Linked DNA regions of Tamandua tetradactyla. The protein of the gene in region 2 interacts with the protein of the main gene of each other region in a biochemical or structural test. Links are inferred from orthologs where the notes say so. Each region holds a gene or a part of one and is shown on either strand. Other genes may lie near its edges.

Evidence for each region.
Region 1: of the proteins of TRIM28 (region 2) and SIRT1, one has a biochemical effect on the other in vitro, tested with the Homo sapiens proteins (2 studies listed by BioGRID). The link is inferred for Tamandua tetradactyla from reciprocal best matches to the Homo sapiens genes TRIM28 and SIRT1.
Region 3: the proteins of TRIM28 (region 2) and IRF1 form a complex in vitro, tested with the Homo sapiens proteins (2 studies listed by BioGRID). The link is inferred for Tamandua tetradactyla from reciprocal best matches to the Homo sapiens genes TRIM28 and IRF1.
Region 4: the proteins of TRIM28 (region 2) and FBP1 form a complex in vitro, tested with the Homo sapiens proteins (2 studies listed by BioGRID). The link is inferred for Tamandua tetradactyla from reciprocal best matches to the Homo sapiens genes TRIM28 and FBP1.

The regions. Positions count from the first base shown.
Region 1 is NC_135339.1:29,581,768-29,589,011, forward strand, and holds the start of SIRT1 (NAD-dependent protein deacetylase sirtuin-1), read right to left. Parts: upstream 3,006-7,244; 5' UTR 2,826-3,005; coding exon 2,432-2,825; intron 1,113-2,431; coding exon 996-1,112; intron 1-995. UniProt on the Homo sapiens protein: NAD-dependent protein deacetylase that links transcriptional regulation directly to intracellular energetics and participates in the coordination of several separated cellular functions such as cell cycle, response to DNA damage, metabolism, apoptosis and autophagy.
Region 2 is NC_135342.1:134,510-142,152, reverse strand, and holds the start of TRIM28 (transcription intermediary factor 1-beta), read left to right. Parts: upstream 1-4,623; 5' UTR 4,624-4,638; coding exon 4,639-4,978; intron 4,979-5,070; coding exon 5,071-5,183; intron 5,184-5,377; coding exon 5,378-5,510; intron 5,511-6,742; coding exon 6,743-6,878; intron 6,879-6,966; coding exon 6,967-7,083; intron 7,084-7,164; coding exon 7,165-7,279; intron 7,280-7,366; coding exon 7,367-7,513; intron 7,514-7,598; coding exon 7,599-7,643. UniProt on the Homo sapiens protein: Nuclear corepressor for KRAB domain-containing zinc finger proteins (KRAB-ZFPs).
Region 3 is NC_135346.1:11,122,386-11,129,291, forward strand, and holds the start of IRF1 (interferon regulatory factor 1), read right to left. Parts: upstream 3,015-6,906; 5' UTR 2,768-3,014; intron 2,554-2,767; exon of another isoform or gene 1,682-2,553; 5' UTR 1,677-1,681; coding exon 1,590-1,676; intron 303-1,589; coding exon 203-302; intron 1-202. UniProt on the Homo sapiens protein: Transcriptional regulator which displays a remarkable functional diversity in the regulation of cellular responses.
Region 4 is NC_135328.1:121,205,355-121,212,716, forward strand, and holds the start of FBP1 (fructose-1,6-bisphosphatase 1), read right to left. Parts: upstream 3,004-7,362; 5' UTR 2,844-3,003; coding exon 2,674-2,843; intron 1-2,673. UniProt on the Homo sapiens protein: Catalyzes the hydrolysis of fructose 1,6-bisphosphate to fructose 6-phosphate in the presence of divalent cations, acting as a rate-limiting enzyme in gluconeogenesis. Plays a role in regulating glucose sensing and insulin secretion of pancreatic beta-cells.

The DNA.
Region 1 (7,244 bases), on a different chromosome or scaffold from region 2:
CCCTTGCAGCCAGACTCTGCCACAGTCTTTGGAGAGGAAGCATAGCCTTTCTGATGCTTTGATTTTGGATGTCATTTTAGCCAACCATACAGTATTTTTTTTGTTTTAGCAGTTAGGAAACTAATACATACAGTGTCAACAATGTTTTGAGCATTAAGTATATATTCTTTTACCCTGAATCTTTTCAGATCAGTTTCCTAGCTTGAGAAAAAGCCAAAAATGTAATAAGTATTACAGGCACTAAAAAGGAACTAATCATTAGTATTTTAAAATAGTTAAGCCATTTAAAAGAGAACACATTAAGAAAAAGATCTCCTTCAAGAGTTATGTTACGCCTTTGCTATAAATATCTGATAGTGTTCTCTACTTCAAAATACATTCCCATCACAATCACATCTTTAAGAAATATTTCTTGAGTGCATTCTATGTTTCAGTACTTTTTAAGACACAGAAAAAACATATACAAACAAATCGAAATTTCCTGCCTCGATGGAGTATATTTTCATTCTAGCACAAGAAGCAGACAATAAAAAGATAAGTAAAATACAAGTTTGTTAAGAAATATCAAGAAAAAAACTAAGAAGAGATTTGAAGTGGGTTGGCTGGGCTGTAGTGAAAAGAGCAGTCAAAATTTAGATGGGGTTTAGGATCTGTCTCCTGAAAAAGATACCCTTTAAGTAAATACCACAAAGTGAGGGAACAAGACACTAACTGGAAGAGCATTCCAGAGGGTACAAGTGCAAAGAACCAGAAGTGTGGGAAGAACACGACTGTTTGAGAAATAGCAGAGGCCAGCTTCCATGGGCCTGAGCTGTTTAAAAACAACAATAAAACAGAACACTCAACTCCCTAGAAAAAGCTAGCATTAAATCTTACCAATCTCCAAAGAACTTCCTCACATTAGGGGACAATTATATTTTTAGTTGGCACAAAAGGAAAATATAAACAAACAAAAACCACTTTGTCTCTAAAGTTGTATAGATTTGAAACAGTACCTATCCTTGGCCTTGGAGTCCAGTCACTAGAGCTTGCATGTGAGGCTCTATCATCCTCATCACTTTCACAGGAATGAAAGCCATTGGTGATAATTTCATCATTGAACAGAAGGTTATCTGCAAAAGAAACCAAAGTAACTCAAGACCGCTGTAACTACCTGCATCTAAAATGTATGAAGACCTATAACAGTTAGATACAAGATTTTCACTTAATATCATGCTGTGTGTGTGATGAATGCCTACTGGATCAAGTCGAATTCTTCATGAGAGCGGTAACTTCATCTTTAGGGATTCTATCCAGAATCTAAAAGTAAATCTAAACATAAAGTCTATTAAAAAAAATGAAACCAAAAAGATAGGGATTAATTGAATTTGTCAATCACAAACAATAGAGTTCATGAATACTATCCAAAAAGAACTTATAAAAGAGGTTCAAATATAAGCACAGCAATTTGCACTTCTAACTCTTATATAATATTAGACAGAAGATATCTTTGCATTATTCGTTTCTCCTACTAAATGGAGTTTCTTGCAATGAAGGGTTGCTTTACTAATTCAATCCCAAATGCACACATAAGTATTGATACAGACGTACACCTATTTGAGATCAAGTGCTCAAATTAAAGATACGAAAACCTCATGGATGACATGCTACATAGAACCAATGCATCCGCCCCAGCATCCTAGAAAAACGCCAATTCGTGTTTCAGGGTTATATATACACACTGAGAAAGAGTATACTTAGCCTAAAAACCGTAACAAGAACATGATTAGAAGGAAAAGAATATCTACATAAAGTACTTTAAAACTACGATCATTCTCTGTGCCCAATGTTAATTGCATCACAGAATAACGTCTTTCGAAACAGCCATGTTCTTTAAACTTTACATACTATGTTTTCACAAATAGTTTTGCTCCTTAAAATTTAAAACTTCAAGCTTAAAAATATAGACCCTCAAAAAAAGTAACAATCTGCATAGATGTCCGTTTGCAAAGGTCCATTAACGGGACAGGCGGAAAGTTGCAGACTTTGCTTGGAGTGGGGAGGGGGCGGAGATAAGCAAAAATCTTTAACAAAAGCAATATGCTAAAAGGAGAGAGGGAAAAACTTATTTTAAAGCCAACTACTAGAGCTTCCCGACCCAGCGGCTGCGCAAAGCGCAGGGCCTTCCCGGTGGGCGGCGAACAGAGACGGAGAGACAGAGGGAAGGAGGGAGGAAGCCAAGAAGCAAAGGAGCGAGTTAGCTGGGCCGCTCCCGCGGCCTCTCCGGCCGCCTCGGAAGAGCGCAGCTGGACGAGGGAGCTTGGTGGCAGGGACGCCGAAGGGCCTGCCCCAAGCCCCCGGCCTAGCTCCAGAAGCACCCACCCTACCGCCAGGAGGGGCCCCGGGGAGGGAAGAGGGGATGCGCAGTTCCGAACGCCCGCGCCCTGCGCACCTCGATACCCAATCGCCGCCACCGCCTCTTCCTCCTCCTCGCCTTCGTCGTCGTCGTCGTAGAAGTCGTCGGCCGGCGGCACCTCTCGGGATAGGCCCTGCAGGCCAGGCCTATTGTCTCCACCGGTCGCCACGGCCGCCTGGCCCTCTCGGGCCTCGCGTTCTCCGCCAGCCACCGGCACCGGCACCTCCCGCCACAGGGCCGTCGCTGCCGGCACCTCACGTTGGGGGGCCGCCCCGCCGGGCTCGCCTGGTATCCGCCCGAGGCTGAGGCCGTCTCTCCGAGGCCTCTTCCGGAGCGGCTCCCCCGCCGGCGGCGACCTGACCTCCGTCTCGGCCGCCGCCGCTGAGGGGGAGCCGCCGGGCTGAAGGGCGAGTGCCGCCTCGTCCGCCATCTTTCAACTGCCTCTCTGGCCCTCCTCCTTTACCTCCTCTGCTCCCGCTCGACGCGCGGCACTGGCGCCCCCGCGGCTCTGTCTGCGGGAGATTTAAACCTTATCACGTGATCCGCCCCCTTGTCGCCCCCGCCCTCCTGCGGCTCCCGCCACCCTCGCGGGCCAGACCATAACACCGCGGGTCACGTGGTGGTGGTGGGGCGGAGGCCTGGGCTGAGCCGCGGCGTCAGGGCTTGGCTTGGGCTGGGAGGAAACGCGACTTCCGTAGCCCGCGGCCCCGCCCCTCTAGGGCAGAAGCGTCGCGCCGCAGATTTCGCCCTTTCGCAGCTTTTTCAACTTCTCTCAATCTGTTCTCAGATAATTGCTGCCGGGATGGCTCAAGTTTTGGTTCACTTCTGCCTAAAGTACACACTTGCCTACCTCAGGCTTGCCTCTGTTTAGCGAAGGGTTAAATGTTCCTGAGAGGCGAAAAAGAATGAAGCTGGCTTCACTTCCAGAAATGTGATGGATAGTCATTTCTGTTTTGTTAATGAAAGACGAGGAACAGAGAACGCCCCCCACCCCTCCACGACAGTCTGACAGCTCCTTTTTGGCTTTTTCTTCTTACTTTCTCTTTGAAGTCGATTGCTTATTTTCCTATCAGTTGTAGAATTGTGCAGGTTGTCACATACCTGAAGGCATGTGTCCGCCTGGACATCCTCCCTCTGGGGACATAGGGATCATCAGATATAGTTTCTCGTCCCAGCTTGGCCCCAAATGTGTGTGAATTCCCTTCTCTAGGTCTCGTTTCTCCCACGTGCTGAATGAGTGTGTGGGCTAAGTGGAACGGTATGAGGAGAACACTGGATTTGGGCTAGAATTTGGGGACATCCTTCAAGCTTGAGCAGTTTAGCCTTTTTAAACCCAATTTTCTCATCCCCCAAATGGTAATAATACCTATTTTGCAGAGTTATGGTGAGCTAAATGTAAAATGAGGGATACAGAGTACCTAGAAAAATACTAGTTCCTTCCCTACTTGAAGCCCCTCTAATTTCTACTTTACCTGAGGCCCCGGGTGAAATTTCTTCCACTCCATATCTAGACTTAACTAAGGACCCTTACAATGCATGGCAGATTTAGAGCCAATGCTTGGTGAGTCACCAACGTGAGCACTGCATTTTATATCTGCAGGAAAGACCTTCAGAGGTTATAGTACACCTTTCTCTAACCATAATATTGGTCCTGGCTATACCACCAGTTACCTGCGTGCCGTATACATACACTTAAGCGGTTTCTTCTTTCTAAAATTAAAAAAAAAATTACGATGTTGGAATGTATCTCAAAGGTCCATCTAAATCCGCAAGTCTTTGTACGTCCCGACTGGACTTCTGCCTTACCAATGTTTGAGAACTATTTGCCTAAAACTCAAGTAGTTTTAGTGGCTATGGCCTACAAGTTCGGATTTAGTTTTTTAGATCCCAGGTGAATCTGGCTGTCTTAGTTTTCTGTGCTGCCATGACAAATGCTACATTCTGGTTGCCTAAAACAATAAGAATTTATTTTCTGGTGGTTTCAGAGCCTAGAAATTCAAAATCAAGGCATCAGCAAGGCCATGCTTTTTTCCCCGAAATATGTAGCATTCTGATGCTGGCTTCCTGTAATCCTTGGGTTTCCTTGGTTTGCATCTATCTGTCCCCATCACATCTCTCTCTTTTCCCCTCCTTGTGTCTGGTCTTCTATTTTCCGACTTCAGTTTTCTTCCCGTGACTTTCTTTCTATAAGGTCTCCAATAATATGCATTAAGTCTGCCATAAATTAGTTTGGCCACACCTAAATAGGATCTTAGAAGACCCTATTCACAAATGATTTCAGGCCTTAACTGATAATACATCTTCAAAAGGTCCTATTTACTAATGGGTTCACACCCACAGGAATGCAGATTAAGTTAAGAACATGTCTGTTGTTGGGGTACATGATTCAATATATCACACTGGCCTTGCCCTTCTTGTAATTTTTAGCATTAGTATATTCTAAATTGAGCTTTTCATATTTTGTAAGTAAAGGGAAAAAAAAGGAAGATCTTTAAATTCTCACATGAAATGACCTCCAAATGACACAGTGCAAGAAGCAGAGCAGTGTATATACTGTAGTGCTATTTGTAGAAATAAATGAAGGTGGTAGGAAGGCCGTATATACCTATCTGTTTTTATATGCACAACATTAATCTAGAATCACATCTTAAATTAAAATAAATACATGCCTTCCACATATTTGTTATACTTTTGCCTGTGCCTTCATCCTTAGAATATCCTCCCTATTTCCTATTCAGTATACTGTTGAGTACATTACACTATTTTATTTATTAACATTTTTCTTTAGTGTTTTATGACTATCTCCCCCAACTATATCAGAAATTTTTTCACCTGGGTCATCTCTGTATCATCAGTTCTCTAGCACAGTAACTAGCACATATATTTGTTGGATGGATGAATGAATGAATAAAAGAATGAGTGAAGAACCTACATGAAAGTTTCCATATAGGAAAAAAATTATTGAATAATGGTTATGGGTCAATATGGACTCTACCAAAAATGATAAGAAATGTGTTAGTTTGCCCCCAGTACCGTTCAGATGACAATTAGTGAAACTGATGACATGAGACTTCTGGCACCTTGTTTGATAGGTGTATTGGGCTATCTCAGAGATTCTGACTTTTGACACTAATCATTAGATTATTTAACTCTTTCTAATGCTAAACTTCCTAAGTAGCCTTCAACAGTAATTTGACCTCCAATATAGAATTTCTCAATGGGGAGAAAATAAAGAGCCAACATTAATATTCTAAATAGTGTGGAGGTTTATTTCTATAAACTAATAAATGGTCTTAGAGCTTTGATATATATCAGGTGATTATGATTAGTAGGGGATTTAGTAATGACTCTCTGTGTACTAATAAAAAGGAATCAGCAAAACAGATTATTAATAGAAAGAAAACAAATGCAGAGCCTTCCCTCACACTATATACAAAAATAAATTCCATTGGACTAAAGATCTAAATGAAAAAAAAATTAAAATATTATAAGATGTTTTAGAAGAATATTTATATAACTTTGGATCAAGAAAGAACTTCCTAAACAAGACAGAAGCCATTAAAAAGTTAAATATGTGTGACTACATAAAAATTTGATATATTATCAACCCTATCAGTGTCAGGAATATGCAATTCAAACAATGAAGTATCATTTTTACTCCTTAAATAAGAAAGAAAAACAACTCACAAATTATATTGCTATCAGAATACAGGGAAATTGATACTCTCATGTATTATTGCCATAGTATGACATCATATTATAATCTGAACAGCAATCTGAAAATATTTACTAAGATCGTAAGTACACACATACATTTACTTCAACCAAAAATCCCCTGTGGAGAATATTTGTCTTAAAAAAAAGAAAAGTGCTAATAGGTAAAGATATAAACACAAGAATGTTTATTGTGACACTGATGATGCTGGGAAAACATCAACATCAAGAAATGATCCAGAGGGCCAACAAAAGGAAACTTGTTCAAATTATTATGGAATACTACACAACCATCAAAAATCTACAACTGTTGTTGAGAAATGTCAATGACACACTAAGTGACAAAAACAAGTTACACAATAATATATAACTTATGCACTTCTTAAAATTATTTTTAAAAATTAACCACAAAGAGAAAAGTGTGGAAAGATATACACTAGACAGTTGAGATATATCTGAATGTGAATAGTGTGGTTTGTGTGAACCTGGAGCAAAGTGTAGAAGGATATAAACCAGTCTGTTGACTTTGGTTATGCTGGGGAAGACGGAGATTGCTGTTTCTTCTCTATATATCATCTGTGTTATTTGGTTTGTTTCTCATATTGTTTTTGTAGTTTGAAAGGAAAATTCAATATAGCATTAAAAGTATTTAAAAATATCAAGAGGAGGTGAAATTTTACATGAAAAAAATAAAGAGGTTCTACATTTTAAATAAAGTGAACATTTTATAATAAAGTAAAAAATATATAATAACCGATATATAAATGTGGTTTATAGAGGCAGGGAAAAAGTATGGAAATAAACATACCAAAATGCTAACATTTGAACATCCCTTGATGTGGGGGTGGGCATGATTGATGAGCTGAGAAAACATCAATATATATATCTGGTTAAAATTTCACATACTATAATGAGTACTTTTTATTTTAAGCTAAGGGAAAATAGTAACTTGTTTTTGAAACTCCAAGGCTGAGGACCCTGGAGGTTTGAGAAGTTGGCAAGCTTTCTTGTCTTGCACAACTTCTTTTAAATTTTTCCTGGTTATATCACAAGTTTAGCAGATGTTATTCTTTTATGGTTTCATGTATGTTATTTAATTCTTTTGACTAGGTTATAACACAAGTGCTGACTTCTC
Region 2 (7,643 bases):
TTGGGCACTTCCTTACTTCATGACATAAGAAGGTATTCCAGGCTCACCTGGGCTTGCTACTGCTCTGGCCCTGGAATCAGCCGTTTCTCCCAGGGCTCCTGGTGCTCTCAGCAAGGAGAGAAACCTGAGTCTGGACCCTGAGGACCTTCCCTCCTCTTCCCTCTCTGTAACCTCAGACGGTGGTCTCTGTCCTCACCTCTCCCCGCCCCGCCCCGGAACGCAGCAGGTGGGAGAGGTGCAGGTACTTCTGAATCCAGCCTGGGGCGCTCCAGGCCATCCTTCACCCCTCTCAGGGTCAGCTGTTCTGCCTTTGAAATGGGAAGTTCGGTCGGTCGGCTGAATACTGGACTTGGAAAATATCCCTGTCCTAATCCCTAGAACCTAAAGTGTTACCTGAGGAGGATCTTGTGACAGGACTCACCCTGGATTACCAGGTGGCTCTGATGCCATCATGTGTATCCCTAAGGGAGGACCTCAGGGCACAGGGAGCTCCAAGGAGGCTGGCCTTGGAGACTGCAGCGACGGGGCCAAAAGCCAAGGGGTGCCAGCCACCATTGGCACTAAAAGAGGCAGGAACCGATTCTCCTCAAGAGCCTCCCACATGCCCTGCAGTTCAGTCCTGATGAAACCTTGATTTCTACATAATGAACCTTATTTAGGACTTCTGGCCTGTGGAGCTATAAGAGAATACATTTCTGTTGCTTTAAGCTGCGTGGCCTGTGCAATTCATTACAGCAGCTTTGTTAAACTAATACCTGCTCTTCCTAACCATGTTCCACCAGGAGGCTTTGAAATGGGAATTCTCATGCTGTGTCTGCTAAGACCTTCTGTTGTCTACTCATCACACTTAGAGAAAAGCCCAGCTTGGAACCGCCAAGGGCAGGCAGTGTCCATCCAGCAGCTGTGTTTGCGACAGCACATTCAGGGCGGCCCCAAACGCAGGAAGCCCTGGCTGTACTGGAGGAGCAAGTCTGTGCATCAAGCAGGCAGAGTGCATCTGTGGTGCTCCAGGGGGGCTCCAGGGCTGCGCAGGGTGTGCCCGCCCTCCTCTGTGTCGATAACCCCACTGAGAGCTCATCGAGTCCTGCTGGCTTCCAGGCCGGGAGGCGATGGGAGTGGGAGTGACGGGTGCTGGGCTTCCTGCTGGGGTGATGAGGATGCTGTGGGAGCACACGGCAGTGACAGCTGCATGACACTGTGAATGTACCAGATGCCACTGGATGGTACGCTGCAAATGGTTAAAAAGGTAAGTTTCATGTTATGTGAATTTTACCTCAGTAAAAAAAGTAAAAATAAAAGTGTTGGAACCTACAAACAAAACGTGGCACGCTCATACAATGGGATATTATCTGTCCATAAAAGGGGATGAAGTGCTGCGCTATAGAAGGACAGCAGCATATGACCCCACTTATGTGAAAAATCTTGAGTCCACACGTTCACACAGAGAGAAATGGATGGGGTACCAGGGGCTGAGGGGAGGAGGAGCCGGGAGCTCAGTCCTAGGAAGCACCAAGCTTGTGTTTGGGGTGCTGGGAAAGTTTTGGGGATGGATGGCTGCAGGACACTATGGGTGTCAGTAATGCCACCGAGTTGTCTGCTTAAAAATGGTTAAAAGGTCAAACTTTATGGGATGTGTGTCTGTGTGTGTGCATACACACACCCACTGAAAAGTAAATTGAAAAAACAAAGTGATAGAGCCTGGCCGCATTGCAGGCTCCACACCTGCGGGCCGGGCGTTGGGCGCCCACAGGCCCAGGCCCCCAGGTACATAGCACCCACCGAGACTGCGCAGAGCTCAGGGACCGCATTAGGAGTTGGCCCAACAGAGTGGCGAGTGGTCTGCGTGGAGGGGGCAGCAGGTCACAGGCTCCGAAGTGGGCACAGCAGGCTAGGCCTTGGGGCTGGAGCAAGGCGAAGTTAGAGGTCACAGGGCTGGAGCCCAGGACTCTGGCTGGAGACTCACCCTGCATGTGCATGTGCAGCAGAGCACAGAACACAAGCTCCGCTTTCCCACTGTAGTCCACACACCTCAGGGACGTGAAGTACATTTGCAATGCTGTGCAGCTGTGACAACTACTGAGATCCAGGACAGGGTGTGACCTCCCGTCCCTGCAGTTCCCCACCAGGTAATAAACCCACGGACGTGCCTACGTGCAGCCTGAGGCTCAGGGTACCAGCGGAGGCCCCGGCTGCTGGCTGGTGGGAAGGGGTTGGCGTGAGGACACGTGGACAGCAGGGCGCTGGGAAGCATGAAGGAAGGAGAAAAAGGAACACAAACCCAAAGGGTCACTGCAAGAGCAGCTAGCCCATTGAAGCAGGAAGTAGAGTAGTGGTGCCATTGGTTGGGGAGAATGGGAGTGAGTGCCAGTGCGTAGGAGTTTGTTTTCGGGGTACTGGACAAGTTCTGGAATTAGTGATGGTTGCACAACTCTGAATACACTAAAAACCACTGAATTGTACCCTTTACATGGGCAAAATTATATGAATTATAGCTCAATAAGGCTTTTATCAAAACAAAACAACAGCTCTGAACAGCTCTGAGCCTTAATCCTGGACAGAAGTCTGAGCTGGAGTGGGGAGTCAGGGAGGAACGGCCAGTGGGTGAGAGAGGCCAGTGGGTGGGAGAACGCGGAGCCATCTCAGCACCTCAATTCACCCCCTCCAGTCTGCAAAGGGGTGTAGTGTCTGGAGGGCAGGAGGCAGCGAAGGGGAGGTCAGGGGTGTGGGGGATGCGAGAGTAGGAGGCCAGATGGACCTCTGCTCATCTCGCCTGTCTGGAAGCTCTGGCCGTCTGGTAGGTCCTCGCCTCCCAGGGCTCCTCAGGATCTAGTGAGGGAGTGGGTAGGGGCTGGAATGGAGCACAGGTGACCCTAGGGTGGCAGGGGCCTAGCCACCACCTGCCCAGGTCCTCCAGCTGCCCGGCCTGCCTCAGGGCCTTTGCACTTGGGGCTCCTGCCCTCAGGGTGTGGGGGTGTCCTGCCCTTAGGGGGCCCTCCTCTGTGCTCTTGACCATCACCTACTTATTTGGAGCAGCCTGGTTCTTCTGCCTCCGCGACCAGGCGTTTGCCGCAGGGCCCAACACGGGGCTGCCCCAGCTCCTGGGATTCGGGGGCCCAGCACGCGGCGGAGAACATATGTTACTTTTGGCAGGGGACCCACAGCTTGCGCCCAGCGCGGCCGGCCACCAATCTTCGTCCCCAACTACTAGAGAAGGGTGGGCCCGCGGTCAGGAACCTTAACGGGGAAGGAGCTGCGGGTGTGGGGTGGCCCCCGGCTCAGCCGGGCGAGGTCAGCGGGGAAACCCCACCGCGGGGGGCGTCAGGGCGCCGTTGCCGCGACCACCCGGCGGGGCGGGGCTCGGAGTTTAGGGGCCGCGCGCCGGGGCTCGAACAAAGGCAGGGGCGGGAACCAAGCCGTGCGACCCTCCCCCAGCCCCGCCGGGGAGGCCACGCCCAGTCCAGGCGCCCCGGGGAGCGGACCAGCCCCCGCCGCGGCCCCCATCCTCCCGGAAGCCTCCTCCCCGTCTGCCGCGGTGTCCGCGACTCGAGGCCGCGCCACCACCGGGGACACTGAGGCAGGCCGGGCCCTGTGCGCGCCGCGGTCACTGCAGAGCGGCCGAGACCCCCCCCGCCCCGTGGCGGTCCCTCCCGCAAGCTTCCTCCACGCCGAGTGACCCCTGCCCCTCCTCAAACAGGACCCCTCCGCCCCCTCCTCGGACAGGACCCCCGGCCCACTGTTGAGGCTCGAGACGCCCACCTGGCAGATGATGGCAAAGCATCAAAGTCAGGACGGAGGCTGGCTGGGTGACGGGGAGGGGACGCTTGGGGGGGGTCGGGTGGGATTTCACGGTTTGACTGCTTTGTTACCCCTAGGGTTTGGGGCAATTTCCTGTATTTCTCACATTTAACAATTAAAAAGGTTTAAACGACCGAGGTCCCCGCCTCCACCCACCCTTTCCGCAGGGATGGGGACCCTTCACCTCTGGCCCCGCCCCTCGCCTCGACCCCTCCCCTCGGCCCCGCCCCACGGAGCCATTGGTGACGCCACGGCTGGAGAGGTTTCGCACGTGCGCAGTACAGACGCCGGCCTCCGCGCGGCCTACAGGTGGGGCTGGGGCCTGGGGGAGCGCCCGCCCGAGCGGCGGGACGGACGTCCCGTGGCCCCGCCCCCACCGCGCGAGCCGCGCCGCGGGGCGGTGGTGGGAGGGACCAGCGCTTGCGCGTGCGTACTGACAGGTTCGCGGTCGGCTCAAGTCCCGCCCCCGGACCGCGCGACGACCAGCGCGCATGCGCAACGGCGTCGGCGCCAGTTATTTCTGTCCCGCCCCCCGGCCGCGGCTCTTTCTGCGAGCGGGCGCGCGGGCGAGCGGTTGTTCGCGTGGCGCAGGGCGGGAGCTCGACGGCGGCGGCGGCGGCGGCGGCGGCGTCGTCTGGGAGGCGGCTCGGCGGGCGGCAGCAGGCGACGGCCGGCCAGACCTCGGCGGCGCCCCGCGCGCGGCTGGCGGCGGCCCGGGCGGCGCTCGGCCTCGCGGCGGCTGCGGCGGCCCAGGCGGCGCGGCCGTTGGCGGCGATCGCGTCTGCGCCTGCGCGGCGGGCCCTGCGCCCCTCCTCCCCCCTGGGCGCCCCCGGCGGCGTGTGAATGGCGGCCTCGGCGGCGGCGGCCTCGGCCTCGGCCTCAGCGGCCACGGCGGCCTCGGCCAGCCCGGGCCCGGGCGAGGGTTCTGCGGGCGGCGAGAAGCGCGCGTCGGCCTCCGCCTCCTCGGCGGCGGCCTCGGCGTCGGCGTCGTCGCCAGCGGCGGGCGGCGGGGAGGCGCTGGAGCTGCTGGAGCACTGCGGTGTGTGCCGGGAGCGCCTGCGGCCCGAGCGAGAGCCGCGCCTGCTTCCCTGCCTGCACTCAGCCTGCAACGCCTGCCTCGGGCCCGCCGCGCCCGCCGCGGCCAACAGCTCCGGGGACAGCGGCGCGGCGGGGGACGGCGCGGGTGAGTGCGGGGGCGGGGCGGGGGACGGCCCGGGCCGAAGCGCCCCGCGGCCGCCGGCGCTTACCCTCTCCTGCTCTTCTCTGGCCTCGCAGTGGTGGACTGCCCCGTGTGCAAGCAGCAGTGTTTCTCCAAAGACATTGTGGAGAACTACTTCATGCGCGATAATGGCAGCAAGGCCGCCACCGACTCCCAGGACGCAAACCAGGTGCGTGCTGCCCCCCTGCCTTGCGGAGGGGCCTGGGGTGGCTTGCGGCCCGAATCAGCAGTGAGGGTGCCCACCGCTTCCCGGCGGGCCACCTGGCCTGGTAAAGGGATGCCCCTTCTCAGGTGGGGGTTGTTGGGATGTAGATGTGGAGCCATCTGCGGCCCCGCCCCCATGACCCCACCTTTGCACGACAGTGCTGCACCAGCTGTGAGGACAACGCGCCGGCCACCAGCTACTGTGTGGAGTGCTCTGAGCCGCTGTGCGAGACATGCGTGGAGGCGCACCAGCGGGTGAAGTACACCAAGGACCACACCGTGCGCTCCACCGGTACATGGGGTGCCTCAGGATGAACTGCCAGCAGTCCCTAATGGCAAACCTCCTTGAAAGGAGGAGGGTTGGGGTTCTGGGGGTTCGGACAGGGGCCTCGGTGCACAGGGAGCAGATAGCATTGGAGAGCCTTGCGAGAGAATGTTGTGAAGGGTCCAGGCAGGGGAGGCAGGTACAGGTGGGGAAAGCCAGTGTCCTTTGCAAAGGATGTGAGGGGCTGCCTGGACTAGGGGTTCTCTGGTACGCTGGCTTGAGGAAACACTGGGGAAATTGAGGCCTAGGGACATGGGTCTCTTGACCCAGGGTTTGTCAGTGACAGGAAGCCCCCAAAATGTCCTAGCTGTGGGATGGCAGTTTTCTGCCTACAGTCACGGGTGCTGTTTCCAGTTTCTGGGTGGCTCTAGGGTGGAAAGGGGCTCAGGAGCTCCTGAGCCTGACTTGGTGTCTGGCCCACGAGTTGGCCTGTCAGAGCTACCGTGCAGCCCGGAGTGGGCCTGAGTAGCCGAGAGGGAGGAACAGGAGTTCACATTGGGTCTTAGGTTTAGGGCAGATGTAGATGCCTTGGAGAAGGCAGCAGCTGGGACACTGAGGCCTGCTGATTTCTGTTCAAGTGACACCTGCCTTGGGCTAGGTGAGCTGTCACAGAATCGGATGTTGCAGATGGACAGAGGAGGGTCGATGTGCCGGGGCAGCTTTCTAGTAGGGTAGGTGATTTATTTTGGTCCCAGAGTGTGCTGGTCTAACATGTTCTCTCCTCAGATGAGTGGAGCCAAGAAAGGTCCCCTGTAGACTTTCAGGTTGTAAGTGGTGTGTGGCTTTGTTTTGCTCAGCTGTAAAGGGGAGGTCAGCAGACAGCTCTTGTGCATAGCAGAACATAGGCAGGGTGTTTTTGGGTCTGTTCCGTATAGGTGTTGATGCTGTAGTGGGTGAACACACTCTGCTGGGCAGATGGTGCCACGGATGGAGGAGAAAGCTCAGAGGGGGGTGTTGTCAGGAGGCCTGAGGGTAGGAGCTGTTTCGAAGTACACAGCTGGGCAGAAAGCAGTGGAGAGCACCCTTACTGTCAGTGTTCTCAGAAGTGGGAAGAGCCAGGACATCTGTCTGGCCAGGCTCGGGCATAGGGTGCTGGGGTTGCAGGCTGGTACTCCCTGCACTCCCAGCAGCATTCTGTGGGGTGCTTGAGGTGCGGGTGGCCAGAGGTGAGGGCCCATCTCATGGTGCCCGCCCTGCAGGGCCAGCCAAGTCGCGAGATGGCGAGCGCACTGTCTATTGCAACGTGCACAAGCACGAGCCACTCGTGCTGTTCTGTGAGAGCTGTGACACCCTCACCTGCCGGGACTGCCAGCTCAATGCCCACAAGGACCACCAGTGAGTCCCGTGGCTGGCCTGGGTAGGGTGGTGTGGGCTGCCTATCCCGTGTTGTGTGTCTAGCACCATGTTCCCCCTTGCCCTACAGGTATCAGTTTCTGGAGGATGCAGTGAGGAACCAGCGCAAACTCTTGGCCTCACTGGTAAAGCGCCTTGGGGACAAGCATGCAACACTGCAGAAGAGCACCAAGGAGGTTCGCAGCTCGTAAGTGGGGATGCTGGGGCTGTGGGGGGAATCTGGCCTTGTGCCCACTGGGGCTGACCCGCCCTGACCTGCCTACTGCAGGATCCGCCAGGTGTCTGACGTGCAGAAGCGCGTGCAGGTGGATGTCAAGATGGCCATCCTGCAGATCATGAAGGAGCTGAACAAGCGGGGCCGTGTGCTGGTTAACGATGCCCAGGTCTTGTCTCTCTCTCTGGGCTGGAAGGGTCCTGGGCCATCTCTCCCCTGCTGACCCCACCCCTTGCCCACTGCCCCCACCCCACAGAAGGTGACTGAGGGTCAGCAGGAGCGCCTGGAGCGGCAGCACTGGACCATGACCAAGATCCAGAAACACCAGGAACACATTCTGCGCTTCGCCTCGTGGGCCCTGGAGAGTGACAATAACACTGCCCTGTTGCTCTCTAAGAAGCTGGTGCGGGGTCGGGTGGGCCGGGAGTCTCGGTGGGCTCAGGGTGGGCAGATACCACGCTGCTGCTCACACTGCTCCCTGCCCACAGATCTACTTCCAGCTGCACCGCGCCCTCAAGATGATTGTGGACCCC
Region 3 (6,906 bases), on a different chromosome or scaffold from region 2:
AGATTTTGGCTTCACAAATTTCTCTAAGAACTTATTGAAACAGTGGTTCTTCTCCCCAGAAACACAAGTCTGCTCTCCACCCACACACAATTCTGCAAGTCTCAGGAGCTCAGGAATGCCCGTGAAGAGTCCCCGTATTAACAGAATTGCCTTCCCTTGTCTCCTCCCTGGCCCCTCCCAGGCTGGAGTCCAGGGTACATACCTGTATGAATGGCCCAGCTACGGAACAGACAGGCGTCCTTGTTGATGTCCCAGCCATGCTTGGCAGCATGCTTCCACGGGATCTGGAAGATCATCTCCTCCTAGACAGCACAGACAAGGCTGCATCACCTCACAGAGACCACAGCCTTTGGAACTAAGTCTGGGATAAAGGCTGACTTTCCCTTTTCATCCTGACATCTAGCTTACATTGACTCACCCTGAGATTGACTTAAACTCTGGATGCTGGGGCACCATCAGCTCAGCAAAGACCTCCTTCTGCCTATTACAGGTGTGCTAGGACCACCCCAGAGTCCACTCCTGTGTAGCCCTGGTTTCTAAGCTCTAGGATGCTTCTGTCTGGCTTGTCAGCATCCACATGAAAGGTGCTGCTGAGAACTTCCATTAAAGGGACCTGCTCAGGACATCCGGGACCACAGGGGGTCCTGGCCTAACCTGCGGGAGCCCTGGACCAGACTTGGATGCCAATGACCTTTGTCACCCTGGCACTATCACTGTACCTCTTTGCCCCTCAGTTTTCCCTTCTGTGAAATAAGAAAAGAGACCTAAAAGAGCTTTTTGTAGGGATAAAATTAGAGGATGTGTGGGGGACATAGTGAAAAATATAAAGACTGAGGCCTCGCCGATGCTGTTATTGGTAGTTAACAGTGGATTTTTGAGTCAGACTGCTCACGTTCATATCTTGGCTTTCTAACTTTCTATGTGATCTCATTAGCTACCCTCAGGGCCTCAGTCCCCTTAAATAAAAATGGGTGTATTAATAGAATTTACCTCACAGGCTACTGTGAGGATTAAATGACATAACACAAAACAGCACAGTGCCAGGCACGCTGTGTCATTAAGTATTGGCTAATGTTATGAATATTATTCTTATCACTATGTCTGCAGTCTCCAGGTTTCCCTAAGCACATCAGCTGGAGGCTTCTTTGGCCAGGGCAACTGGTTCAAGGTTAATTCTGGATCTCTGCTAAGCCTGCCATCTTCCTATCCAGCAGTGCCCACTTCTCTGTCTATCTGCCTGGAGCCCTGTAAGGATGGTTTTGTGTGTGTGTGTGTGTGTGTGTGTGTGTGTGTGTGTGTGTGTATGGGTCTCCCTCAAGAAAGGCCAGGACTCAAGCTCTGCAGATGCTGGGAGAGTTTTGCTGCTAGAAACTGTAAGTGCCCACAGGCAGGCGTCCTGTCTCCCAAGAGAAGGGAGGAAGGCAGGAATCAGGGCAAATGTGTCCTTGCACACTCCCTGCATGCACAACCCACCAGGAAACACATCTGTCTGTCCCCTTATCACTTCCCTTTTTGAGCTGTATCTGAAACTTTGGTCTCCAAAGAACATGGGTTAAAATCGTGAAGGAAAAACCCAAAGTTACACTCACTTTATTAATCCAGATCAGCCCCGGGATTTGGTTGGAATTAATCTGCATCTCTAGCCAGGGTCTCATGCGCATCCGAGTGATGGGCATGTTGGCTGTAAAGAGAAGACAGAGGGCTCCTGTTTGGAGTCTGTTTATCAGCCCCTGGGCACTATCTTGCCCCACCAGAAGGCACTCAGTTACTCTCCTCTTCTCTCACACACTCTAGGAACCCTGGGGCCAGGTTATAAGGCACTGCAGTTATAGGGAGGAGATCTGTGCTGGAATAAAACCACCCCCCCACCCAAATCTTTTTAACATCTCAGACAAAAAAAAAAAAGGGCACTACTGCCCTTTATTTCCCCCTCCCACCAATCCCGGGAACAGACAGGCAAGCTCAGGATTCAAGTGCAGGAAAAGAGACAAAATATACGGATGTCTCAATACCGGAACTTTTCTCCCCAAATCCAAATCCTTTGGAAAGGGAGGGGATTCTTTTGCTTTATCCAAGAGATTTCTGGCTTGAGTTGTAACCACTTAGCTGTGCACCTCCCCTCATGAGCAAGCAGCACCTGCGCCCTGGACATTTGTCCCGAAAATCCATTCTACATCTGCCTGCCAGTCACGGCGCTCAGGCCGGGACACTAACTCTTCTGGCCTGGCTTCCCGTCCTCATCCCTCAACTCCCTTCCCCGGACGAAGTGGCCCAAAGCACCTGTAGCGCCTCCTCCGGCAGCCCCGGCAGATTAGCCGGGGACAAGCTTCACCCCAGCCACCAGCAAGCACAAGGGGGCCCGAAAGCCTGGGGCCTGAGCGCAGAGTTGAGACCGCGGAAAGCCCGAGTCAGGAGCGCAGGTCGCCCAAGCGAGGCGTACACCCGACACCCCGCGCACCGCGTTAGGATGCACGCTACGGACATACCGGGTCACCCCGATGTCCCGGGCCGCTTCGCGCAGACAGGATCTGCGAAAGCGCAGGGCTCCCGCAACCTCGGCGGGGTGGGCGGACCACGACGTAGCCCGCCCTCCCCGCGCCGCCGCCCGCCCGCCGCTCTTGCAGCGCCCTCCCGAGCGCGCGCGGGGGCCAGGCTACGCCGCGCGCCCGCGACTCTCCCGGCCCGGGCGTCCGGCCCCTACTTCCTGGTGCCCCGCGCGCCTTTTGTTCGACGCCGCCGGTTTCCCCCGCGGCGAAAGCGGACTTACCTCTCCAGTGGGAAAATCTGGAGGCGGCGCCCAAGGGTCCTGGCGAGGCGGGGGACGGCTGTGCGGGCGCTGGTAGCGCGATCCGGGTGGGAAGGGGAAGAAAGCAGAGGATGCCTGGGTTGCAGGGCCTCCGGGCAGGGCTAGCCTAAGCTTGGCACGGCTCCGGCTGGGCTCGGCCCGACTTGGGCGCACGTCCTGCCTTGGCGAAGGAGTGGCGCGCTCTGCCGAGACAGCGGCGCCACCGAGAAATCTAAACACTTAGCGGGATTCCCCCAGCCCAGGCCCGGCCCCGCCTCCTTAGAGTCGCGCGGGCGCCCATTGGCGGGCGCCGCCACATCATTTCGGGGAAATCAGGCTGTTGTAGAGCTAGTGGCGAAGGGGAAGTACAGGGCGGCTGCTCCTCCCCACCCCCTCCGGCCCGGCGCAGCCGCCCGGGGGCGACCGTGGGCCCGCCCCGCCGGCACCCACTCTACCCCCACTCCAGCTGTCCTGGAAAAGAGGTTGTCCTGGAAGGCCGAACGTCCCGGCCGCAATTAACCCCGCCCATTCTGCTTTCTTGCAGCTTGCAAGCTCCTGTGGCCACCTCCTCTCCCCTCTTGCGTGCACAGGTGAAGGGGTTATCCAGGCACCTGCCGCCCTCCCCAAGAGACGCCCTCCCCACGTGACTAAAGCCCGAAGAAACAGCCTGCCTCTTCTAGCCTGTTAATGGGGAGTCAAAAAGGGAGGGCTTTGGCCCTCACACAGCCCCCATTTGAGGGGTCACTCGCCTGTCCTAGGGACGAAAGGAGGCTGAAAGCCGATCCTGTCTGACGCGCTGCCTGGGGCTGCTGCGCGGGAGGCAATTTCAGTCCAGTCTCTATAGCACATCCTGCCAAGGTACTCTGGACCTCAGTTTCCTCAACTGCAAAATAACAGTCTTACCTTGCAGAGCTGCAGTGACGAGAGAGGTGATGTTTGTAAAGTGCCTTGTCCCATTCGGCACATGCTACATGGTTTGCAAGGATCCTGCACCAGGATCTCACAGTGACCAGCGAGATCCCTCCGCCTCGTGTCCTGCATCCCTGAACCTGCCCCCTGGCTGGACTTCTGGAAAGGGAGGAGAGGAAGGGATCCTGACAAGCTGGGGCTGCAGAGTTGGGTTGGGGGTTGAGGCAGCCTGGGTCCCTGTTAGCACTCCTTCTTTAGGCCACCTCCTTATCCTCACAAGGCCTCTGCATGGTATTGCCTCTGGGTTCCCAAGGCCTGTCCAAAGGGTTTCTGGGCAGCATGGGGGAACTGCTTGGGGCTGGCCAAGGCCATGGGTCTGGATTGAGAGTTGGGGAATCCAGGCCCCAGGTCCCTTGGTAAGGGTAACAGCTTAGCTCTGTGCTCACAACTAAACCTTGCCCACCTTGTACTCCTAGAGGCTGAGCTGAGTGTTCCTCTTTCCTTTCCGAACTGTGGCCAGGCATGTCTAGTCCCTTCCTTCACCTCCCCAAAGCTGCTGACTCAGAAGTAAATCACTCTTCCAAGCAGAGCTGTTTGTGTCACTCCACACCCCAGCACTACCTCCACAGCAGCACCCAATTACTTTGATGCAGGCTATTAATACAATCATTGATACCGCATTCCACCTATCAGTCACCCCACTGCCTACCTCCCACAGAGAAAGCCGAGGGGTTTTTCCAAACGTGGTGCACCAGAATCTGAGAACTATAGTTGACACTAAACCTGGTTCCCAGGAGACCAGCAGGAATAGTCAGAGCTGTCTCCAACCCAGACAGAGGTGGCTATAAGAGAAGTAAGGAGGAACTGCAAGGAAATAGCCCTGTTGGGTGTTAAGGAAAACGGAAGGTGCTGAGGCCCTGAAAGGGACAGGTGGAAGGAAAGATCAGTAATAAATGGGAATGGAACCCTGCGACAGGGACCAGGAATTTCTGAGCAAGAACAGAAAATAAGCAGCTCCTGAGTTTTCAGGTCTGTTCTCTGTCAGTGGATACCTGTGCTGTCCCCCAGAACCTGGGGAGGGATAGACACTGCCACTGGAAAATTCAGAATGAAATTAGGAAGAGGAAGGTTACATGTAGTGCCCTGAGAAATTGACCCGAGTGATCCTATAAAGGCAACTGGAGAATGTAAAAAGTGCTTTATAACAATAACTTGTTTAATTCACAGATAATCATCTGTGTGTGTGTGTGTGTGTGTGTGTGTGTGTGTGTGTATAAGCATCTTTCCATGCCATGAAATGTAATGTACTGCTCCAGTGTCATTTATAATGGGTACATATTAGTCTGTCATAAGGATAAACAAAAATTTACCCAATTAATCCCTTATTATGGAACATTTAGGTTATTTCCATTTTTTTCCCATACTATAAACCACACTGTGTAAATCCTAGTGCATAGCAACAATTTTTTGCTTAGGAGAAAATCCCCAATTTTAGGAGTTACCAGTGAAACTGTCCTTTACATCTTTGAAGTGTCCTTTGACTTTTTTTTTTCTTTTCACTTTTAACTTTAGGTGTTCTTGTTTAACATGAAGCCTCTAAGAATCAGCTTATCTTGATTGGGGATGCTATACTCCAATTCAGTGAAATAAAGCTAAACTCTGTTTAAGCACCCAAGCTTTTATCGTAACTACACTTGAATCTCATAAGATCTATCACACATTCCCTGTGATGCTAAGTAAAGCGCATAGAGCCTCTCTCAGCTTTTCATAGTAATTCAGAGCCATGAAGGACCAACTGGCCCTCTACCCTCTCTGTCTCAAAGCTCTCATCATCTTCTGTAATTCCAGCTATTCCTTCCGGGAAGGCATCTTCCAAAACCAGGCCCTGGCTGCGTGCTGGACACTCCCCTACAGCCCCACCCACAGATTCACACACAAGCAAGCAGAACTCTCAGCCTCCCCTTCTACACTGCCTCTGGTAGCTTCCCCTCTTCCTAACTGCAGCTCCCTCCCTGTTGATGTCTTTGCCAACCTCCTCCCCCCTTTGGCTTATCTGGTCCTCTGGGACTTCCTTCCCTGCATCAGATCATGTGTTCACATTCCAGGACCACACTGCTGTTGCCCTAGCCTCCCCTCCCTCTTCCCTCCCTCCTAGGCCTGCCCCTCCAGGTGTCTCTGTACAGTCCTTGGGATGACATCCCTAACATTCCTCTCTACTCAGGAGCCTTCAGAACTCCTCCAGACTCCTCAGCCCCACATTCATATCCCTGCTCACTCTGGGTCCCATTCCAGCCATCTCTCCTTTTGCCTCTATTCAGCAGTAACTAGAGGGTGGTAGAAAGGGAACACAGGGTTTGAGTCTGAAAGCCTGAGTTCTTGTCATGCTTTTGCCATTTGCTGTGTAATCTTAGGCAAGTTACTGGGCCTCTCTGGGGCCCAGTTTCCCATTTGTAATTTGGAGATAATCCTTAGCCATCTCTCCTGATTGTTGTGCAGATGAAATTAGATAGACTATTAAAATCCTTCCCAAACTGTAAAACATTAGTCAAATGAAATGTATTAACTAATGTTTGAACCTTTCACTGTATTTCCATCCTCTAAACACATGTTGTTTTCCCCTCTCATGCCTTCCATTTGTTCCTCATCCTTATATTCCCGGGAGACATAGCAACACTCACTTATCTCTACCTCTCTCTCTCAAACACACACACAATTTCAGTCATCTTTTTAAGGCCAGAGCAAATCCTTGGTCTTTATGAAGTGCCCCAAAGCACCAACCACGAGTCTTTTTCTCGCTCAGAACCACTTGGCCCTTAAATTTCAGACGTTACCTTTTCATCATTTATCATCTTCTGGGTGAATACATTCTGGGGATCAAAGTCTGCAAGTTTTCTGTAAGAGAATTGAGTTGAGTCCTCACACCCTGCACTCTGGAGTCAGTAGGAATTAGTAGGTGGTGACCACCCACCTTCTCTGGGGCAGGGTGTCATTCACAAGATGCCTCCCATCCATGCCCTCGCTCAGGGTGAATTTCTCACGCGGCTGCTCTGTACCAGGTCCTGGGGATTTCCAGGCTGGTGGAGGGGCTGACGGCTGGCAGGGCCCCCTTTGACATGATGTCTACAATCAGCATCACTCCCTGCGGAAGCCTCTGCCCTTGTCCCTAGCTTTGCCTCTCAGGCTCTCAGAACTCACTGTTCATTCCCCAGGTG
Region 4 (7,362 bases), on a different chromosome or scaffold from region 2:
AGGCAAAAATGAGAGATGGAGAGAAAGGAAATCTGGCTGTACGCCTCAATTTCTGATGTTTCCTCGATGAGATGTCATCGTCATGCTCCTTAAACATGTTTCTGTGAAGTCACTGCAAATCTGCCATCATCCTGTCCCTCTGGGTGAATATCCTTCTAGGGCAAGTTCCCAGCACTAACAATCTTTTTGCAGGCACTCTGGGCTTTTCATCTGGGAAATCAAAGCCTGTAATGAATGTAATTTGGAGGCCTGACTCGAGATCATGTTTGATTGCTGCCAGCCTGACTACATGTCATATGGAGAAGAGCCAAATTCTTCCTTTCCCAAAGGAGTATTTAAGTGCACAGGTTTCTGGTTCTCTCCCACCAGCCACCATCATGACTACACATTGACACCAGTTCCAAGGGTACAATGCTATTTATAATGGGCAAATACTAGTGAAAACCTAAATGCCCAAAGACAGTCATAAAATAACTTTGCAATAGGTCCAGGCAGTGGAATATTACACAGCCTTTAAAAGGGGGGAAGTAGATTTACATGTCCTGATGCGAAAGATGCTCATTATAAGACTGTTGAATGGTAAAAGCAAACTGCAGAAATGTATGTTAAGTGTGATCCCATTTTGTTTGATATTTACATGTAAGCATATGTAAAATATATGTCCATGTGTAAATTTTTCTGATTATTAAGAAATATCTGGGAAAAATAACTCATACATTACTAACAGTGGAAAATCCAGGGAATGGACAAATTTCACTTATTGCTTTATGTTTTTTGAATGGTTTGAATTTTTGTCAGTGAATGAAATTTCTTGATTAAATTATAATAGTAACAACAATTAATCACAACTATCTAGTTTAAAAATACACATATTTCATGCAGCTAAAATGAGCACCCTTTGTCCAGAATCCACTCTCATAGTCATATACACAAGGAAGGCATTATCTGATCAGGGAAAACACACCTCTCTCCAAGTGTTCAGAGTTCATAAAAACATTAAAGCAATCAGAAAACACTGAGGTTACTTAGAAGATAGGAAAGATACACCTCAAAACATATCCTGAGTTTCTGAGACTCTATGGGTTTCTGAAAGGTACTGAAACATTTAAAAAATAGAAGACATGATAAGTTCTTTTTTTAAAAAAAGCTCCCTTTTCTCAGTCATGAGGCCACCGATACTCGAAAATGAAATCTGAAGTGAGATTTTAACTGAACATGTTTCCTAAAGCAAAGAATCCTTAGAAATATGTTATTAAGAAAGGTCAAAGATGAAATTAGTAACGAGCTACCACCTTTCTATTATACCTGTTCCAATTTCTCTTACCCTGCTTGATATCTGAAAATAAACATGTGATCTTGCGCTCCTTTCTGAAGAGTTAGCTCTACCAGCCCATACTCTGGTACCAAACGGGCTGCCTGAAAAGGAATCCAGGTTGCAGGAAGTTTGTGTGTGTGTGTGTGTGTGTGTGTGTGTGTGTGTGTGTGTGTGTGTGTGTGTGTGTGTGTGTGTGTGTAGGGAGAGGGGCCGTTTTAATAAATGTAGAAAATGCATTCCAAAGTAGGAAGGTTGCACTTTTTTTTAGATCAGCTATGAGCATCATGCATCATTTAAAAAACAATGCTCATAATCATGAGAAATGTTAGGAAGCAGTGTGGGCAATCTGAAAACCCAGGGACCCTTCAGTTACAGCAACGGCCAGTCAATAAAATAATTTAGTGCACCAGGATAAATTAGAAGGTATTTGTGTGACTTACAGGAAACTTCACAGAAGGTACCCTTTGAGTCACCATGCCTCGTAAGTCCTTGCTTCTTAGAGTTGTGGCCCCACAAGTAGAACACTCTAAATGTGTTAGAAATGCAGAATCTCAGGCCCCACCCCCAGCCACATTTTAAGAGGATCCTCCTAAGTAATTCCTGGGAATGCCAACAACTGAGGTACATTCATAGCCTAGCTCATTTAAAACTCTTTCATTTACACACAGCTTTTGGGCAAGGGCTGCACACACCATTACTGCATTGGATAGAAGTTTTTAACCTGTCTGGGTGAGTTTTCTGTGTTTGTGGGACAACACAGCAATTGCCCCAGGCAGGGCCAGCCTCCAGAACACTGCATGAAAACAGCTCTGCAGCTCTGTGCAGGCAGGCTCCCTCCCACCTGCCCGGGTTTAGAGTCAAAGAGATAGTGGGTTGGAAACCTGACTTGGGACTCCAATCCCAAAAAAGAGAACCAGAAAGTAAGGCATCCACTCCACACGTTCCTGTGTGAGATGATCCCAGACTAGGATGGGGCACTTGGGCCGGCCACGTGCCATCCCTGGCCAGTCTGTTGCATCTGGAGGAGCTGAGAGATGTTGTCAAGGCAGGTTGCTCAGTCCAAGTAGAAGGGGTGCAGGATGGTGCGGGTTTCGACCTGGGAGACAGACTCTCCTCGCCCCACCCCACCCCCAACACCCCCAGTTGGGTCCCTCCAAGGTTAAGGGTGGACGACTGGGTTTGAGTGCGGCTAAGCAGGCTTCTGGAGAGAGAGGAACTATCAGAGAGAGTGAGAGACTCTTAGATGTCAGAGAGACGAAGGCTGACAGCAGGTGGCCAGAGAGCCAGGTGTCGGAGATCCCCAGCCTGACAGACAGACAGACAGGACGCGACCCCAGGCAGCCGGAGACCTGACTCACAGGTGCGCGATGCCCGCCTTGCGCACGGCGGTGGAGATGGCTTTGACCGCCGTGCAGAGCGAGTTGAGCAGCTGGGTCATCTCGCCCGTGCCGCGGGCCTTCCTGCCTTCCTCCATGACGAAGCGGGTCAGGGTGTTCACATTAGTGTCGAAGGGCGCCTGGTCCGTCATGATGGGACCCGACTGGGGCGCGCTGGGCGGCAGGTGCAGGCGGCGACAAGGCAGCAAGAGTTCGACCCAAGCGCGCCGAAGGTCTGCACCGTTAAGAGCGGACCTGGTCCAAGCGGCGTACCGGAGGGGTGTGTCTTGGCGGAGCCTATAGGCGCCGAGTCCCCGCCCCCCACGCTCGGGTCCCTCCCAGGCCCCCCACGCCAACCCCGCCCGCGGGGATTTCACTCAAACTGCCTGATATTGCAGTGCTCTTGGCTCCCCGCACCCCGCAGTCGCCCGGACACGCCTCGGTGTGGGCGGAGCACAGCCATTTGCGTTTGTGGAGCGTCACTCGGGGCCGCCCATCTGATCTCCTTCAGTCCTCACAACAGTCCTGCCCGAGAGGTACAGTCGTGATTGACTGATTGATTGATTTCTGTATTTTTCAAACTAGAAAGCAGAAGTTCAGAAAGGTTAAGTCACTCGCTCAGTATTGCACAGCTAGTAAGTGAAGAAGCCATCCCCGCAGCCCAGCGTGGCCGGGTCGCAGCGCCCCCTGCCCTTCCATCGCCGGTGACCCCTGCTGGGCTTGTTTACCTGGTTTTTCTGACCGACCTCAGAAGTGGATGCCCCTGCCCTGATGGCCCAGGTGTGAATCCTTAATTCAGGCCTCTTCCTCTTTATAGAGTCCTATAATTTGAAAGCTGTTGGAAGGAATGAAGTGCTGGTCCATACCACAACGTGCGTGAAGCGTTCAAACGTTACGTTGAGTTTATGAGCTAAGCCAGACACGAAAGGACAAATATTGTATGATTCCACTTATATGAAATATCTAGAATGAGCAAATGCATGGAGACAGATTAGAGGTTAGCAGAGGCTGGTGGGAGAGGAAAATGGGGAGTTTTTGCTTTACTGGTGCAGAGTTTCTGTTGGAGGTGATGAAAAGGTTTTGGTAATGGACAGTGATGATGACAGCATAATATTGTGAATATAATTAGTGCCACTGAATTATACACTTAAAATGCTTAAAATAGGGCAGGCCACGGTGGCTCAGCAGGCAGAATTTTTGCCTGCCATGACGCAGACCTGGGTTTGATTCCCAGTGCCTGCCCATGTTAAAAAAAAAAGGTTAAAATAGAAAATTTTGTTTTATGTTACCACAGTAAAATTAAGAAAGAAAAAAAAGGTGGGGGGTGGCTACAGGGAATCTTAACTTTCAGCACCTGCATTTTTTGCAGAGGAAAAGCAAAACAGTTGCAGAGACAGAAAAGCGCCTCCTACCTACCACACGGCTAATCCATGGTAGCTCTGGGGCCTTGAGGCTCCACAGCCCATCCCTTAACTGCTTTGCAACCACAGAAGTGCTGCCCTAAGGCTGGTCATGCCCTGATTCAGTTCATAACATCTATTGAGCACCTACTATGTGCTGTCTAGTATGTGTACCTACTAGGTCACTGTCGTAAGCAACTGGGGATAGAGCCTGAACAGAACAGCTAAAACTCCTGCCCTCATGGAGCTTACTTTGTAACAAAGAGGCAATGAACAAGCTAAATAATAGCTCTAATATGTTAGATGGGGGTTAGTGCTATAAAGGAAACCAAAATAGGAAAGGAAGATGGGGAATGTTGGGGAGGAAGAGATAAATAGAGGAGTCAGGGAGGTTTTATTGAGAAAGTGACATTTGAGCAAAGAACTGAAAGACCTGAGGAAGGAGCCAGTGGAGATTAGAGAAAAATGTTTTCAGCAGTGAGAGAAGGAAGTGCAGAGACCCTGGGGTGAGAGGGTGTGGCATGTTGGAGGAATGGCCAGGAGACACTGTAGCTGGAACAGAGCTAGCAAGGGGCAAAAGGGAGGAGATAAGGTCATGGATGGTAGGATGGTGGTATAGGGCCTGGGAGCCTGTGGAAGGTTTTACCTTGACTCCAGTAGGAAGGAAACTATTAGAGAGTTTTCAGTAGAGGAAAGGCATGACCTAATCTGATGTTTTTACATGATTACTCTGGCTACTGTGTTTAGATTAATCCAAAGAGGAGAGAGGACAGATACTCCTGAGGTTACTGAGAGATGGTGGGGGGTTGGGCAGAGAAAGTAGCCATGGAGGTAATAAGAAATGGTTGGATTCTGGGCATAGTTTGAAAGTGGAGCTGATGGGATTTTTTGACAAGTGAAATGTGTGAGAAAGGGGAGTCAGGGATGATTCAAAGGCTGGAGAAGAATGGAGCTGCCCTTAACTGAGATGGAGAAGACCAGGAGGGGAGTATGCTGGAGACACCTGAAGAGTAGGGACTAATTCTGGGACATACTCAGTTTCAAGTGCCCATTAGACATCCAAGTGACTGCCAAGTAGGTGGATTTATGAGTCTGGAGTTCAGAGGAGAGGTCATTGCTGGAGGTATACATTGGAAAACCTCAGTTGTTTTGAGCCATGAGATTGGGAGAGATTGCCAAGGAGGGGTAGGTTGGAAATCAAGAGAGGTGGCATCCAAAAGCCAGATGAAGCCCATGAGTCGAGGAGCAGGGGGTGATGGCTGTGCTAAAAACTGCAGATGGGTTAATCAAGATGAAAACTGAAAACTGCTGAATTTCGTCGGTGGAATCTAGGGTGCCCAGGAATGTCACATGGGGGAGGCTTACAAGAGAAGGTGGTGGTACCACCAGGAAAGACAGTACTTGTCTCTCCAAGGGGGTGTTGATAACCACTGCAGAGAGGGCAGACCGCTTGAGGCAGCACAAACTGCACTTAGCTCTTTGTTCCTCATGCAACTTTTCAGGAGAAGTAGCATGGAATGTTAAAAAAATGTCTAGAAGAGATATATTTCCTTAAATATAAAATCTGCAACGTGATGACTAATGCTTTTGGCCTAGTAACTAGTATAGCCACTCCATTCAAGGGTTTGCCCATTTACATCTCAGATTTCTAATCCCTTAGAGTGATGGTTTGGAGCTGTATGTACTCCCAAAAAAACATGGTCTTAAATGTAATACCTTCTTGTTGGTGTAACCCATAGTAAGTCGGGCCTTTTTAATGTGGCTACTTCAGTTAAGGTGTGACCCACCTCAGTAAGAATGAATCTTGATCCTATTACTGGAGTTCTTTGTAAGCAGAAAGAAATTCAGGCAGAAAAAAAGCCATGGGGAGCAAGAAGCTGAAATTTAACAGAACCTGAAAGAGAATACAGAGGCCAGGAAAGGCCGCCATGTGCATTGTCATTTGACTGACAAGCCAAGGACCAAGGATTGCTAGCACCCAGCTCCAACATGCCAGTCTTCAGGAAGAAAACATCTGTCTGATGATACCTTGATTTAGATTTCTCTTAGCCTTAAAACTGTGGGCCAATAAATTCAAATTGTCCAAACCAACTCATTGCATGGTGTTTGCTTGAGCAGCCAAGGAAATGAAGATGCTCAGTAACTTGGATTGGCTAGAACTGTAAAAGTCATCTAGTTCAACCCAACCCTTCTGAAGCTTGAATCTCTTGGACATCATCCCTGATGAGAAGATGATGATGGCTCTAAACTTGGCCTTGCCACTTACTGGCTGTTCAAATCTGTGCAGGTTACTGAACCTCTCTGAACAGCAGTTTTCTCACCTGTCAGGTGGGGCTCTTGAATGTAGCCACCTAGTAGTGTTGATGTAAGGACTGTAGCAATGCCACTGAAGTGTGTAGGGATGGTGCCTACGTCATCTTTTGCTGTCAAATGAGGGCTGAAGAAAACAACCCGAGTGCCCATCAGTGGATGAATGGATAAACAAAATGTAGTACATCCAAACAGTTGAATATGATTCAGCCATAAAAGAATGAAGTCTTGTAACTCTTAACCTCTTTAAGAGTTCAGAATTTGGGTTGGGCAGGCCTGTGGGATTTCCGGCTCTAGCCCTTACTAGCCTGAACATCTTGGGCCAGTTACCCAATCTCTACAAAACTGGTGTATTCGTCTGTGAAAGAGTGATTGTTCTAGCTGGCAGGGTTATCCTGAGGATGAAATGAGATGCTCAGAGCCCGATGCAGAGGGCACAAAATACATGGAAGAGACCCTTTCTAGTTATTTACAACAGTCATCCACAATGATAGACAGCTCAAGCCAGCACCCACAAGGCCTAACATTCCCCTTTGGAGTGAGGCCACTTAGCGAGATGGTTAAGTTCATAGACTCTGGAGCTAGGTTTCCTGGCTCTAAAGTTGACCTTGCCACTTACTGGCTGTGCAAATCTGTGCAGGTTACTGAATATCTCTGAACAGCAGTTTCCTCACCTGTCAGGTGGGGCTCTTGAATATAGCCACCTAGTAGGGTTGATGTAAGGACTGTACAGAAATGCCACTGAAGTGTGTAGGGATGGTGCCTGGCATGTGGTAAGCACATGGTATGTACATGTTTGCATTGTTATGATGTGGATAACATCAACTGTTGCTTTCATCTGAACAGAAGGAATTAAGTTCTCTTGCCATCAAAAGAGGGCTGAAGAAAACAACCCAAGTGTCCATCAATGGATGAATGGATAACCAAAATGTAGAACATCCAAACAATTGAATATGATTCA